2 linked regions of the Nothobranchius furzeri genome follow. The protein of the gene in region 1 interacts with the protein of each later gene in a biochemical or structural test. Links are inferred from orthologs where the notes say so. Each region holds a gene or a part of one and is shown in the gene's direction. Other genes may lie near its edges.

Region 1 (6,270 bases):
GGTAGGTTCGCGGCCGAATGTGAAGCGGCTGGGATGAGGATCAGCACCTCCAAATCTGAGACCATGGTTCTCGACCGGAAAAGGGTGGCTTGCCACCTCCGGGTCGGGGGAGAGGTCCTACCTCAAGTGGAGGAGTATAAGTATCTCGGGGTCTTGTTCACGAGTGAGGGTAGGAGGGATCGGGAGATCGACAGGCGGATTGGTTCGGCGTCTGCAGTGATGCGGACGCTGAGCCGATCTGTCGTGGGGAAGAAGGAGCTGAGCCAGAAAGCCAGGCTCTCGATTTACCGGTCGATCTACGTCCCAATCCTCACCTATGGTCATGAGCTTTGGGTAATGACCGAAAGAACGAGATCGCGGATACAAGCGGCCGAAATGAGTTTCCTCCGTAGGGTGGCCGGGCTCAGCCTTAGAGATAGGGTGAGGAGCTCGGACATTCGGGAGGGACTCGGAGTAGAACCGATGCTCCTCCGGATCGAAAGGAGCCAGTTGAGGTGGTTTGGGCATCTGGTCAGGATGCCTCCTGGACGCCTCCCTGGGGAGGTGTTTCGGGCATGTCCTGCCGGCAGAAGGCCCCCGGGTCGACCCAGGACACGTTGGAGAAGTTACATCTCCAATCTGGTCCGGGAACGCCTTGGGGTCCTGCCGGAGGAGCTGGTGGACAAGGCCGGGGAGAGGACGGCCTGGAGCTCCCTAGTTGGGATGCTGCCCCCGCGACCCGGACCCGGATAAGCGGAGGAAGACGAGACGAGATCTCTGATTGATTCTTTGACATGTTCCTTCAGGTTTGGCCATGACCATGAGTTACCTGTTTCGTGAACCTGCCACCATCAACTACCCGTTTGAGAAGGGCCCGCTGTCGCCACGCTTCCGTGGAGAACACGCCCTCCGCCGCTACCCCAGCGGAGAAGAGCGCTGCATCGCCTGTAAGCTGTGTGAGGCCATCTGCCCAGCTCAGGTGAGCAGAAGCATAGTTGTTGTACGGTCAGGAAAATATTGTCCAAAACATTGTAGTGTATGAGAAAAAGGACGTTTGCAGACTTTGATCATTTGAAAGAAACATGTTTGTTTATAATATTAAAGAACAGAAGAAAAGTCCACTCCAGTAAATGCTCTCCAACACAGAGATATAAATGTTTCCATTAGTGAAACGTTCCTAAATTTCCCCCAAACACCAGGATATTTAGTCTGAACTCCCCGTGTCCATCCCCAGGCCATCACCATTGAAGCCGAGACTCGAGCTGATGGCAGCAGGAGAACTACCCGCTACGACATCGACATGACCAAGTGCATCTATTGTGGTTTCTGCCAGGAAGCCTGTCCTGTTGATGCTATTGTGGAGGTGAGAAAAGAGAAAATGTCATCAAACAAAAAGCAACACTTCTTCCACAAAAAAGAATCGCTGCTTACCTTTTCCTATCCAGTATTTGCTGTTTGATATTTTTCTCTCAACCTTCTCCTCAGGGTCCAAACTTTGAGTTTTCTACAGAAACGCACGAGGAGCTTCTTTACAACAAGGAAAAGCTGCTCAACAACGGAGACCGATGGGAGCCTGAGATAGCAGCCAATATACAGGCAGACTATTTGTACAGATAAACCACTTCTTGTAAAAACAAACCATTTTGGCATCATGCTTATGTACATTATAGAAATAGCTACATGTTGTGGAGTTAAAATGCTCATTTTGAAGCAAGCCCAGTAATCATACATTAACTGGCCATAAACAAAAATAAACAAATCTAACAAAAGTTGTTCTAAAAGCTTTTTTATAGGCACACCTTCACTGTTGAGCTTTTTCTGTAAATCATAAAACTTAACTGAGTAACTTAAATTTTCATCTTGTATTTATGACTGGGGGGGGGGGGTGGCTCTGTTGGTTAATCCTTTATTAGAAAAATAACATCTTAAATCATTTAGATCCTGTTGTTGTCAGGAATCAGTCTTGCTGCTTCCCATCTAACTGAGGTTTATATCCTCAGTAATGCGTGTCTCTCTGAGCTAAACGGCTGTTTAGTCTGGTTACATTGGTTAGTCCTTATAATGTGTTTCTGGAAATCATTTCACTATTCCCTCGAGTTCTACTTAGTAAGCATTTTTGCAAAATTTTCTTTATCTTTCGTTATTTTAGATATATGGCAGTTTTTAACCTAATGATGGTCTCATGCGGTAATGATTTGACCTGTCTCCAACTGACTCGACTATTCCTTATCCACAGAATGTTTTCTACTCAGTGGATCAGCCAGGGTTAAATACTACAGCTCTTTTGCCATTGGCTAGAACAGGTTGGGAGCTTTCTTGTTGGTCAGGCACTGTTTGGCTTGTTTTGTTGTAGGATTGGGTTAGTTTGAACTGTTCATGTGTTGAATTCATTTGTTTTTACTCACTGATATTTACAGACACATTAAAACATTTTTTATTGTTTTTAAGTTGAACATTTCAATGTAATGCTTCTCCAGAACAACTGAGGGTAATTAAATAAACCATATTTTAAACCTAGGCTGGTGTTAGATTAGTTGGAGAATTGGGAGTGAAGCATACCTGCAGCTTCTGATTTCAACCTCAACAGAATTGTTTTGACCAGTTTGAAGTGTATTTTTATATAAAGGATATAAGTAATTACTATTTTATTTAGCTTTCTGAATGGACTGAAACATTCAACAGGATTGATGAGCTAACAGCTAGTTTAAGTGCAATCACAACTTGAAAAATGTCATAGCAGTTTAATAATGTAATTTAAAAAGAGTACAAATTAGTTTTAATTCTCTCTGCTTCTTTTGTGCCTCATCAACAGTCATAACATGTTTTTCAGGAAAATTCTTCAAGCTTGTTAGATCTGTTTTATTTAACTGCATGATCTAATATAAAACACAGGCCCAGAATCATTTGAACCTATTACTTGGTCCCATTTCTGTCAGCTCTGGTTTGCAGTTTCCACTAAGGTATGAACTACGGGTGAAATTATACAAATTGATTATGTATTTTTAAACCAGATGAGTTTTAAAGGCCACTCTTTAACCCTGCGTGTTAACTTTGCTACAGGAACAAACAATGGAAGAGCCGGGGTTAAAGCATGGACATAAACACAGAAATGTCTATAGAGTTAAGTAACACATATCATCGGGCATCTGCCTCCCTTCATTACTCCGTAATCTTTAGAGAGCCTGAAAGGGGTTCCTGAAGTAGAGAAGTACAGAAAGACACTGGTGTCTGGGAAAGGCTCCTCCTGTCAAAACCTCCTTTTAGTGCAAATGTCAAATTTATGATTTATAACCCCGAAGGTCCTTGGAAGTTTTCAGAAAAGGGCAGAAACCTTTGAACAACAAAAACTAGCTGGCTTCTTATCGGGCCCATATGTCTTGATCAACACTTTAAAAACATGATATATACGGTTTAATCTCTAGAAGTGTTGCTTTGAGAACAAAGCAGCGGAGTGCGCATCGTGAAGGTATATCAGACGGATGCTGATTCATGTTCTATATTTTATGCGTTTTTGGCGCTGCGGAGGCCACGTGACCAGGGCGGAAAGTGACTCATAGTCCACGCTGAATCTGCCGCGAACGCAGCCATTTACTCTTTCCTCTCTTCGCAGTGACACCGGTGAGTCGCTAGTTTCCTCTTCAATTGAGGGCCTTCCTAAATGTCAAGTTTGGATTGTTTTTAAGTCACTAAGAATGAAACAAAACTTTTTGGGTTATTTTCTTCTTTTGGGTTAAGGTCGTTTTGCATGTGCAGCCTTAACAGCAGTTGAGGGGGAAAGGCCGTCGCATTTTTTGTGCTACCAGCTAACGGGGAAGAATGGCTTCCATGCTGTGCTAGCTGTGAGGCTAGCGAGCACAGCAATGCTCCATTTCACGGCTTTGTTCTGGGATATTTGTTCCTATTACTCTTATTTGTGTATATTTGCCAGGGAGTTTTCACAATTTTTTCTTGTTCGCAATTAACGTTATTTACGGAAGGCGTCTTGTTTAGACCAGAAATTGACGGCAACATGGAACGCATTAGCTTCTGTGACTGTCTGATTGTTCCAGTCGAACCTGAAAAAGTGCGCTCAGGCATCATATGGCGCACTAAACTAACGCCTGTTAGCTTGAAGGCTAGTTGGTAACCGCCAGTGCTGAGGCTTTTGGGGGGCACGGTAGCTTTGTTTTACTTTATATTTTGGCACACCGGAGAGCAGTTAGAGGCTGTTTGTTGATGCGTTAGCAAGCTTTCATAAATTATAACGTCGCATTTGAACATGTCGGAACGTTAGCTTGGATAGAACATGCTAGAAGTTATCCCTTAGCTGTAAACTCGTCTGTACAGAATGGTGCGTGTTCAAAGCCCCGTGTGAACAATATTCCCAGAATGCCAAATTGAGTTATTGAGAATCTTTAACTTAAATCAACGTATAGATAACACTAACGGTAGATTCCCGCCTTGTTTGTTTCAGAATATTTGGAACCATGGCTGACTCTATGGGACAGTGTGTACCTGTGGCGGTGTTCAAGGTAAGAATCTACTTCTTAAGAATGATGTTAAGTATGATCTAATTATGGCGCGTGAGGGCAAAAATGTGTGCGTTTTAGCTGAGGTAACTGGTGTACCAGCACAAACCGGTCAGTAGATAACTGGTCTGTTCTTCACAGCTGGTGTTGGTCGGAGATGGAGGCACGGGAAAAACAACTTTTGTGAAGAGACACATTACAGGAGAGTTTGAGAAGAAGTATGTTGGTGAGTAACCTGAGAAAGTTAAATGTAAACTGTACAAGACTAACCCAGTGTTTGTTTTTACCAAATTAGGTTTGCCACTAATGTTTAGAACATCACATTTACAGAAAATATTGTAAAATCGCTGCATCACAAGTTTATGACACAGACGTGTAAAATGCACAGTTCTGGTCTTCCTGTGAAATTAGTGTTTGTTGAAATTACTTCATAAAACAAGTGGTTTTTATTATTCTTGTAGTTGAAAGATAAACACAACTATTTCATGTCCATGTTATTTAAAACCATTCTCTTATCAAGTCTATGAATAATAGGCCAAATAAGAATGACTGTCCTCAGTAATCCCAAAGAGTGCAAAAATGCAGAAATTCTAAGTACTAGTTACTCCATATAGCTAGCTATAAATGACTTCCAGCATCAGTCACATAACTGATTGTAGTAGATGGAAAATCAAGCAATACCAACCTTTTTATATATTAGTTTAACAAACTTGGTGTCATTCTGCAATGTCTGAAATTCTACAACTAACAGCTGCTTTGGGTTGGTGATGTTTTTAAATGGAAAACGGTAAAACAATGAGTCAAACATTATTTTTTGTGAAACTATACAGGGTTTAAACTTGTAGATAACATCTTTGTCCTAATTTATATTGAAAAGAATTGAATGGGAGAGAAGGGAGATCCTGGATGAATACTGTTCCCGGTATTATAAATATATTAACATGTCAAACATTCAACATAAAGATGATGAATAATGTGTACTTTATTGATCCCCTTGGGGAAAATCATTCTGTTTGATTCATTCATGAGAAGCATTAAGCTACCATTTCTATGCCACCTGGGATCTGTTTTCTAGTTTATAACTTGTATCATAATTCTAGGATTAAAGTTCATTTGACCCTCTCTGTGAGTTTAGATTAATTTCTTGATCTCCTGCATCTTTTTTTAGCTACTCTAGGAGTAGAAGTGCATCCCCTGATGTTCCACACCAACAGAGGACCCATCAAGTATAACGTTTGGGACACAGCTGGTCAGGAGAAGTTTGGAGGGCTGAGAGATGGCTACTACATTCAAGGTGCTTCTTCAATCTTTAATCATGATACCAGCAGCTGGATGCATTTAGTGTCACCTTTCTTCTTCATTTGATCAAATGTACCCGCTCCTCCTACAGCTCAGTGTGCTATCATCATGTTTGATGTCACCTCTCGAGTCACCTACAAGAACGTGCCCAACTGGCACCGTGACTTGGTCCGCGTCTGTGAGAACATTCCCATTGTCCTCTGTGGCAACAAGGTAGACATCAAAGACAGAAAAGTCAAAGCCAAAAGCATCGTGTTTCATCGCAAGAAGAACCTGCAGGTAAAGGCAGCTTTCTAACGAGTTTGTGCTCTACGTTGTTGTGCGAATGTTTTTGCAAATTAATAACGTTTTAGCTTCATTTGGATTAAAGTATTTGTTTTGACGGCTCTGCCCCCAGTACTACGATATTTCTGCCAAAAGTAACTACAACTTTGAGAAGCCTTTCCTGTGGTTAGCAAGGAAGCTGATCGGCGACCCCAACCTG
Region 2 (5,740 bases), on another chromosome or scaffold:
GTTTTTCTATTGCCAATACCGATATGCAGGAGATAGTGTTTCCCAGGGTGTGTGAGCATGGGATGTTTCACTTCTGTGTGTCTCCCGTGTGGGGGTGGAGCCTCGTAGGCTGGAATTTCAGCTGTGATGCAGTGCCACGCCTAAGCCTATGTAAGGGAAACATTGGGAGACATAGTCAGCCGAAAGCTGATGTGTACTGCAGACTTTTACGGGCCAAATTTTATAGCCAATATCTAGACATTTTCCACCTTATTTTCAGGGTAAAATGTCACTAATAACATTGGTTGATGCACAACATTTCTGAAGCTGAATCAGTTTTTGAAATGTGAATTTAACTATCTGTTAAATCTTAACTTTGTGCACTTCTCAATGCTAAACTCAGACACCTAAATAAAGTTAATTCTCTGTATTTATTATGCAGATGTTATTAGTGAACATAAAAATGCATTTAAATAACATTTTGCAACAGCATCGTGCTGCTCGAAGATGTGACTGACTTTAAATCACCTTCACTGTGAACAAATATCAGCCGATGCTGACATATAAAAACTGGTAAGTATCAGCTAACTATATCATTCAATCAATATATCAGTCTATGCCTAGTTCTGAAACATATGAATTTGCCAACATTTTAGCCCTTCAATAATCAGAAAAATGCAACCTATGCAACTCAGAATAATGTAACTATTTTTTTATTGATAGTTCTTCAGACAGAGAACAGACTCCTGTTCACTGAATGCAAAAGGAAATGTCATCACAGCCTGCTGGGCAAAACTTTCTACCAAGCAGATGTGAAAACCACACTGCTCTTCTAAAGAGACATCCATGAGTTTGGGTTTGGGTGCTTTGAGTGCCAATGAAGCGAAGCAAACACACACACACACACACACACACACACACACACACACACACACACACACACACACACACACACACACACACACACACACACACACACACACACACCTCAATAAAATGCCTCTGTGACACTGAGCAAAAAAAAACATGCAATCCTAACAGATGTGTATGCATCAGGGGGATGAGCGTTTACTCATGCACATCCCCCATTTCTCACTAACAAGACGACTTATACCATTGAATCCAGTTAAGCCTGACACTGTGGTTTTCTCAGTGTCCTTGCTCTGGAGCTGCGTTTGGAAAAAGAGCCTTTCTCCAGCCAAAAGTGGAGAGGAGAGACCAGCAAGGGACAGATCTGAAGTAGTGAAGAGACAGAAAAGAGGAAAACCCCAGTCTGACCTGTTGAGATTTGGACAAGGAAGTTCAACAACTTGACCTATTTAAAGGATGGGACTTTAAAGACACAAACCACAGAATTAAATGTAATCTATTTATAAACTTTTGTCACACGAAAAACAAACACTTAATGACAAATGACAACTTAAAGCAAAAAAGAAGCAGCATAGATTCATGATAAGACAGGAAACACAAATGTTAATTTGATAAACATTCATGTGATAATAAAGCATTTTAGACCTGAAAATAGCTTTTTAATTGGAAACTGATTCAAGCAATACAGCAGTTAGTAAAAACGAATAAATCACTGCATTTCACCTAGCTGAATGAGCTAATGTCTAATCGAAGCTTTAAACGCGGATTGTTGCGGTTATCTACAACACACACATCTCATAAATGTACAACACAATAATAATTAGAGTAAAACACGGGTCAGAATAAACTATGCTATTCAGTAACCCAAATAAAACAGGCCTTTCACTCACCCAACCAGGCTAAACTATGCTAAGCTAAAGATGCTAACGTGACTACCGGTGACTACCTACCTGCTGTTTGTAACAAGATCCACCGATAAACTCCTCAGCACAGAGCCTCGGCAACACGTGCAGATATGAGTCAGGTTACAGTGACTTTACAGATTCTTCCAGTTCATTTTAAAGGTAGTCCCAGACGCCGAGACACTGTTCTCATATTTGGATGCTAGCGGTCCTTCTTGTCTAGATCAGCTGACCAGGAAGTCAACGAAAACAGCTGGAGAACAGACTGATGCAGATGTTTCACATGAGACAATATTCTTCTATTTTGTTTCCTTAAATTTTTAAATAATCAAAAAATAAATAAGGGAAATATTTTAAAAATAAAATATTTATTATTTTAATAATGTATAGGTGTATAATAACAACAAAATTATGAGTATGATAATGAAACAGTTATTAATATTTACAACAGAAAATAAATTAAATAAAATTCTTTATAATAAATTAGATTTAAACAAAACAAAAGGTACAGGTCTGTAGCTCTTGTCCTCCTCGTCTGTAGGTGGCGGTAGAGCGCCTGTTATACGTGTCACAGGAACTACTGCATATTGAGAAGCACACGCTAACTTAACGAACACTGTTGTAAGTTGGTATGTTTATCTTTTTCGCATTTACACTTACAATTTACCGATTTATAGTTTTGTAAACCAGTGCTGTTTTACGTGTATGTGCATTCTCCAGCAGTCATCGTGTTTGTTGCTGTTTTCAGGAAGATGCAGAGCACAGTCGGAGGAGGCTGTGCTTCTCTGCAGGCTCGCCCTCTGTTTGGGGGAGCGCTGTCAGCGGTCATACCTCCTCTAGCCACGGACATCAGCGAGCTGAGGGAGATTCCTGACAACCAGGAGGTGTTCGCCCACCCCCACACGGACCAGAGCCTGATCGTGGAGTTAGTGGAGTACCAGGCTCAGGTGACCGATCAGAATGCAGCCAGGTACCACTTTGAGGACATAGCGGGCTGCAACAAAGCTTTGGAGCCCGGTGCGTTTGAAGTGTCCGGTCTGGTGGCCCTACCTAAACCCGAGCTGGCCCTGGCAGAGTGCAGTTGTGCTTGGATGCTAACAGGGACACAGCGTGTATCAAAGTTCAACGAAGAGGCGAGGAATACAGTGACCATTCATTTGGGTGTGTTCCGTCTGCCGCAGTTCTCCACAGAGGTTCTGATTACTTTTAATGACCCACAGAGCATCCGCCCTGACAGCAGCAGCGCCTCTGCTGTGGAGACGCACATGTGGACTCTGCAGGACTTCCGGAGCCTTCTACAGACGCTGACTCTGCACGACCCTGGTCTGTTCGGCTAGAGCGTCTCAGTGTTTATAGACCTTCAACACTCAGCCCCAATAAGACTATGGGGTTTTCTAAGAGGTTTGCCACAACAAAAGGCAGGAGGAAGTCTTCATGCCCCAAATACATGTTCTCCTTTGGAAATGAAAAAGAGCCACAAGCAAATATATTATGTAGTCATAGTCTTGTTATGCTTTTACATGCTTATTGGACTTTACAGCACGTGTCTCCAGTCTCCATCTGCTGCCATCCTGCATCTTTTAGATGTTTTTTTGCACCAACACACCTGATTTGAATTAGGTGGCGATTAACAGGCTTCTGCAGAAGAACATGCTGATGAGGTCATTATAAGAGCAGAAAAACAACCCAAACCTGCTGACCCGAGACTGATATTGCTCCATACAGCTCAGAGATTAGTGTAAGGTAATAAAGTTTATTTTATGGGATTCTGTTTTTGTGAAACAACAGAAAAAAACTTTGTTCCTACTTGACAAATATCAGATGTACTTAAATGTGTACAAAGTTCTAACCACATTTCTAGGTTTTATATTTAAAAGTTGTCTAAATAAATCACAAATGAATTATTTTGCCTGCGTTTCTAAGGTCTGAAGTCTGCGTCTCAGGTGGGACAGGCCCTGGAGAAGCGTTGGTTGGCCATTTCCTGCTTGCTAAATTATTTAACTGGGGGTGGGGGGTCACCTCATTGGAGCAAAAATTGCATCTTTCAAACTAATTTTTGGCATTTTTAGAGGGAAAACCTTATTTTTACATTTTGTTTCCATCTCTTCTGTTCACTCAGGTATTTCTTTAGTTATATTCATGGAGAAGCTAGCAGCCTTTTTTCTTACAAACTTAAAAAGCCTTTTAGTGACAGCCTGCCGGAGGTGGAAAGTAATGAATTACATTTACTCATGTTACTGTAATTGAATAGCTTTTTGAATATTTATACTTTTTGAGTCGTTTTTAAAATCTGTACTTTTACTTGAGTAAGTTTTTAAAAAATAATTGTAATTCGCTACATTTTAAATCATATCTGTTACTGAGTAAAAATAAATTGTAGGCTTGATGAATTAAAACTATTACGTGTAGCAGCGTCGGAACAGAAAGAGACACCTGCATGAGCACCGCATCTAAACCGTGGGGGTACACTTTTAATAATGAGGACAAACAGCCATTTTTACCGCAGTTTTGCTCAAAAACATCAGTTCAGTCCCTGTGATCCACTCGCTGTTTACGTCCTCTCTCCCTCCTCTCCTGTGGGTTGGAACCAGGGGTGTGTCCGAATCATCGACATATATACTGGACAATTCCTTTCCATAGGCTCCAATAACAAGTTTTTGGTCTAAAATGGGAGGTGGCCACCACCGCCATTTTGACCGTGTCACAGGTTCCGTCCAGCCCAGACAATTCCATAAAAGGGAAGAGAGGAGGAGCTAAGGGTGGGGCTGTAAGGCTGGGATCAACTGACGACACCCGGTCGAACTAGCTACAAGCTAACCTGAAGCTAACCCAAAGCTAACGCGGAGGTGGGAGCCGAGCTAACGGATGTAGCCACCTAGCTACAACCGGAGCTAACTCTGTGGAACACCCATCGACCGCATGGAGTTCAGGTGGAGGTTTGCGGCGCTTTTTCATGAGACGTACCTTTCTGTGAATAAAAAATATTAAATCGGTAAGTTTATAAGTTATTTCCGTAATGAAAATATATTTTGCTTTGAGCAAGTTTTCACTATTTATCACGTACTGTATTTTCAGGACTATTAAGTTGCTCCTGAGTCGCACCAGCCATTAAATGTATAATGAAGAAAAAAACATAAGTCGTATTTTGGGGGGAAATTTTATTTTTCTTACAAAATCTGAGACCAAGCATTTCACATTGCAAGACAAGTACCGGTAACAATAACCGAATAATGCGCCGCAGCAGCGCGCCACGGTCTCCAGCAGAGGAAGGCAGTGTTTGAAACCTTCCCAGTGGGACAGGGGAACTCATTCTTGGGTCAGAGCCAGCCCGCAGCAGCACGGTGTAGCCTACATGTTTTGTTATATAAGTCGCTCCGTAGTAGCAGGACTGGCCAGACTATGAAAAAAAGTGCGATTTATAGTCCGGAAAATGCAGTAGTTATTAGTATTTGAGATAAATTAGCAGGCTAAATACATTTCATATATTTCCAAAACGTAATCCTTGTTTCTATCTTGTACAGCCAAGTAGCCTTTATTCTGGACTCAGTACAATTCACCAAAAGTAAAGAGACATTATACAGATGAAGTAAGTGTAACCTAGGCAACACTGGAGCTCTGCCGCTCCAGCATCACACAGGGATTCACAACGACACAGGTGGAGAGCGAGGGTGCAAAACCAGAGGGACAGAGACACCAGAGAGTAGAAGTTTGTCTGCAACCTCTTTTATTAACTAAATAAAAGCCCCGTCTAAAAATATACAACTAAAAAGTTTGAGTCCATAAAAGCAGATTAAAACATGTCCTTCAAAAAGACCCCAAAAGATAGTTGGGCTCCTCCCAGATCCACAACGTCACGTGGAGGGAATTTCCAGGATGGGAAAGGCGGCGTCCCGCCTTCAGCGTGCGACTCCAGCAGTCTCTGGTCTCGCTCTCAGCAGGCACTTGTCTCAGGCGTGATCTCCCGGGGGCTCTCGCCGCTCCTCCCTGAC

The links.
Region 2: the proteins of ran (region 1) and rangrf form a complex in vitro, tested with the Homo sapiens proteins (2 studies listed by BioGRID). The link is inferred for Nothobranchius furzeri from reciprocal best matches to the Homo sapiens genes RAN and RANGRF.

The regions. Positions count from the first base shown.
Region 1 is NC_091741.1:91,736,223-91,742,492, forward strand, and holds the start of ran (GTP-binding nuclear protein Ran), read left to right. Parts: upstream 1-2,730; 5' UTR 2,731-3,597; intron 3,598-4,090; exon of another isoform or gene 4,091-4,309; intron 4,310-4,432; 5' UTR 4,433-4,445; coding exon 4,446-4,490; intron 4,491-4,628; coding exon 4,629-4,713; intron 4,714-5,655; coding exon 5,656-5,781; intron 5,782-5,877; coding exon 5,878-6,065; intron 6,066-6,183; coding exon 6,184-6,270. Other genes in the region: ndufs8b (NADH:ubiquinone oxidoreductase core subunit S8b), read left to right, coding at 786-958, 1,214-1,342, 1,465-1,596. UniProt on the Homo sapiens protein: GTPase involved in nucleocytoplasmic transport, participating both to the import and the export from the nucleus of proteins and RNAs. Switches between a cytoplasmic GDP- and a nuclear GTP-bound state by nucleotide exchange and GTP hydrolysis.
Region 2 is NC_091748.1:46,573,148-46,578,887, reverse strand, and holds rangrf (ran guanine nucleotide release factor), read left to right. Parts: upstream 1-2,276; 5' UTR 2,277-2,372; exon of another isoform or gene 2,373-2,380; intron 2,381-2,499; 5' UTR 2,500-2,503; coding exon 2,504-3,088; 3' UTR 3,089-3,655; downstream 3,656-5,740. UniProt on the Homo sapiens protein: May regulate the intracellular trafficking of RAN. Promotes guanine nucleotide release from RAN and inhibits binding of new GTP by preventing the binding of the RAN guanine nucleotide exchange factor RCC1.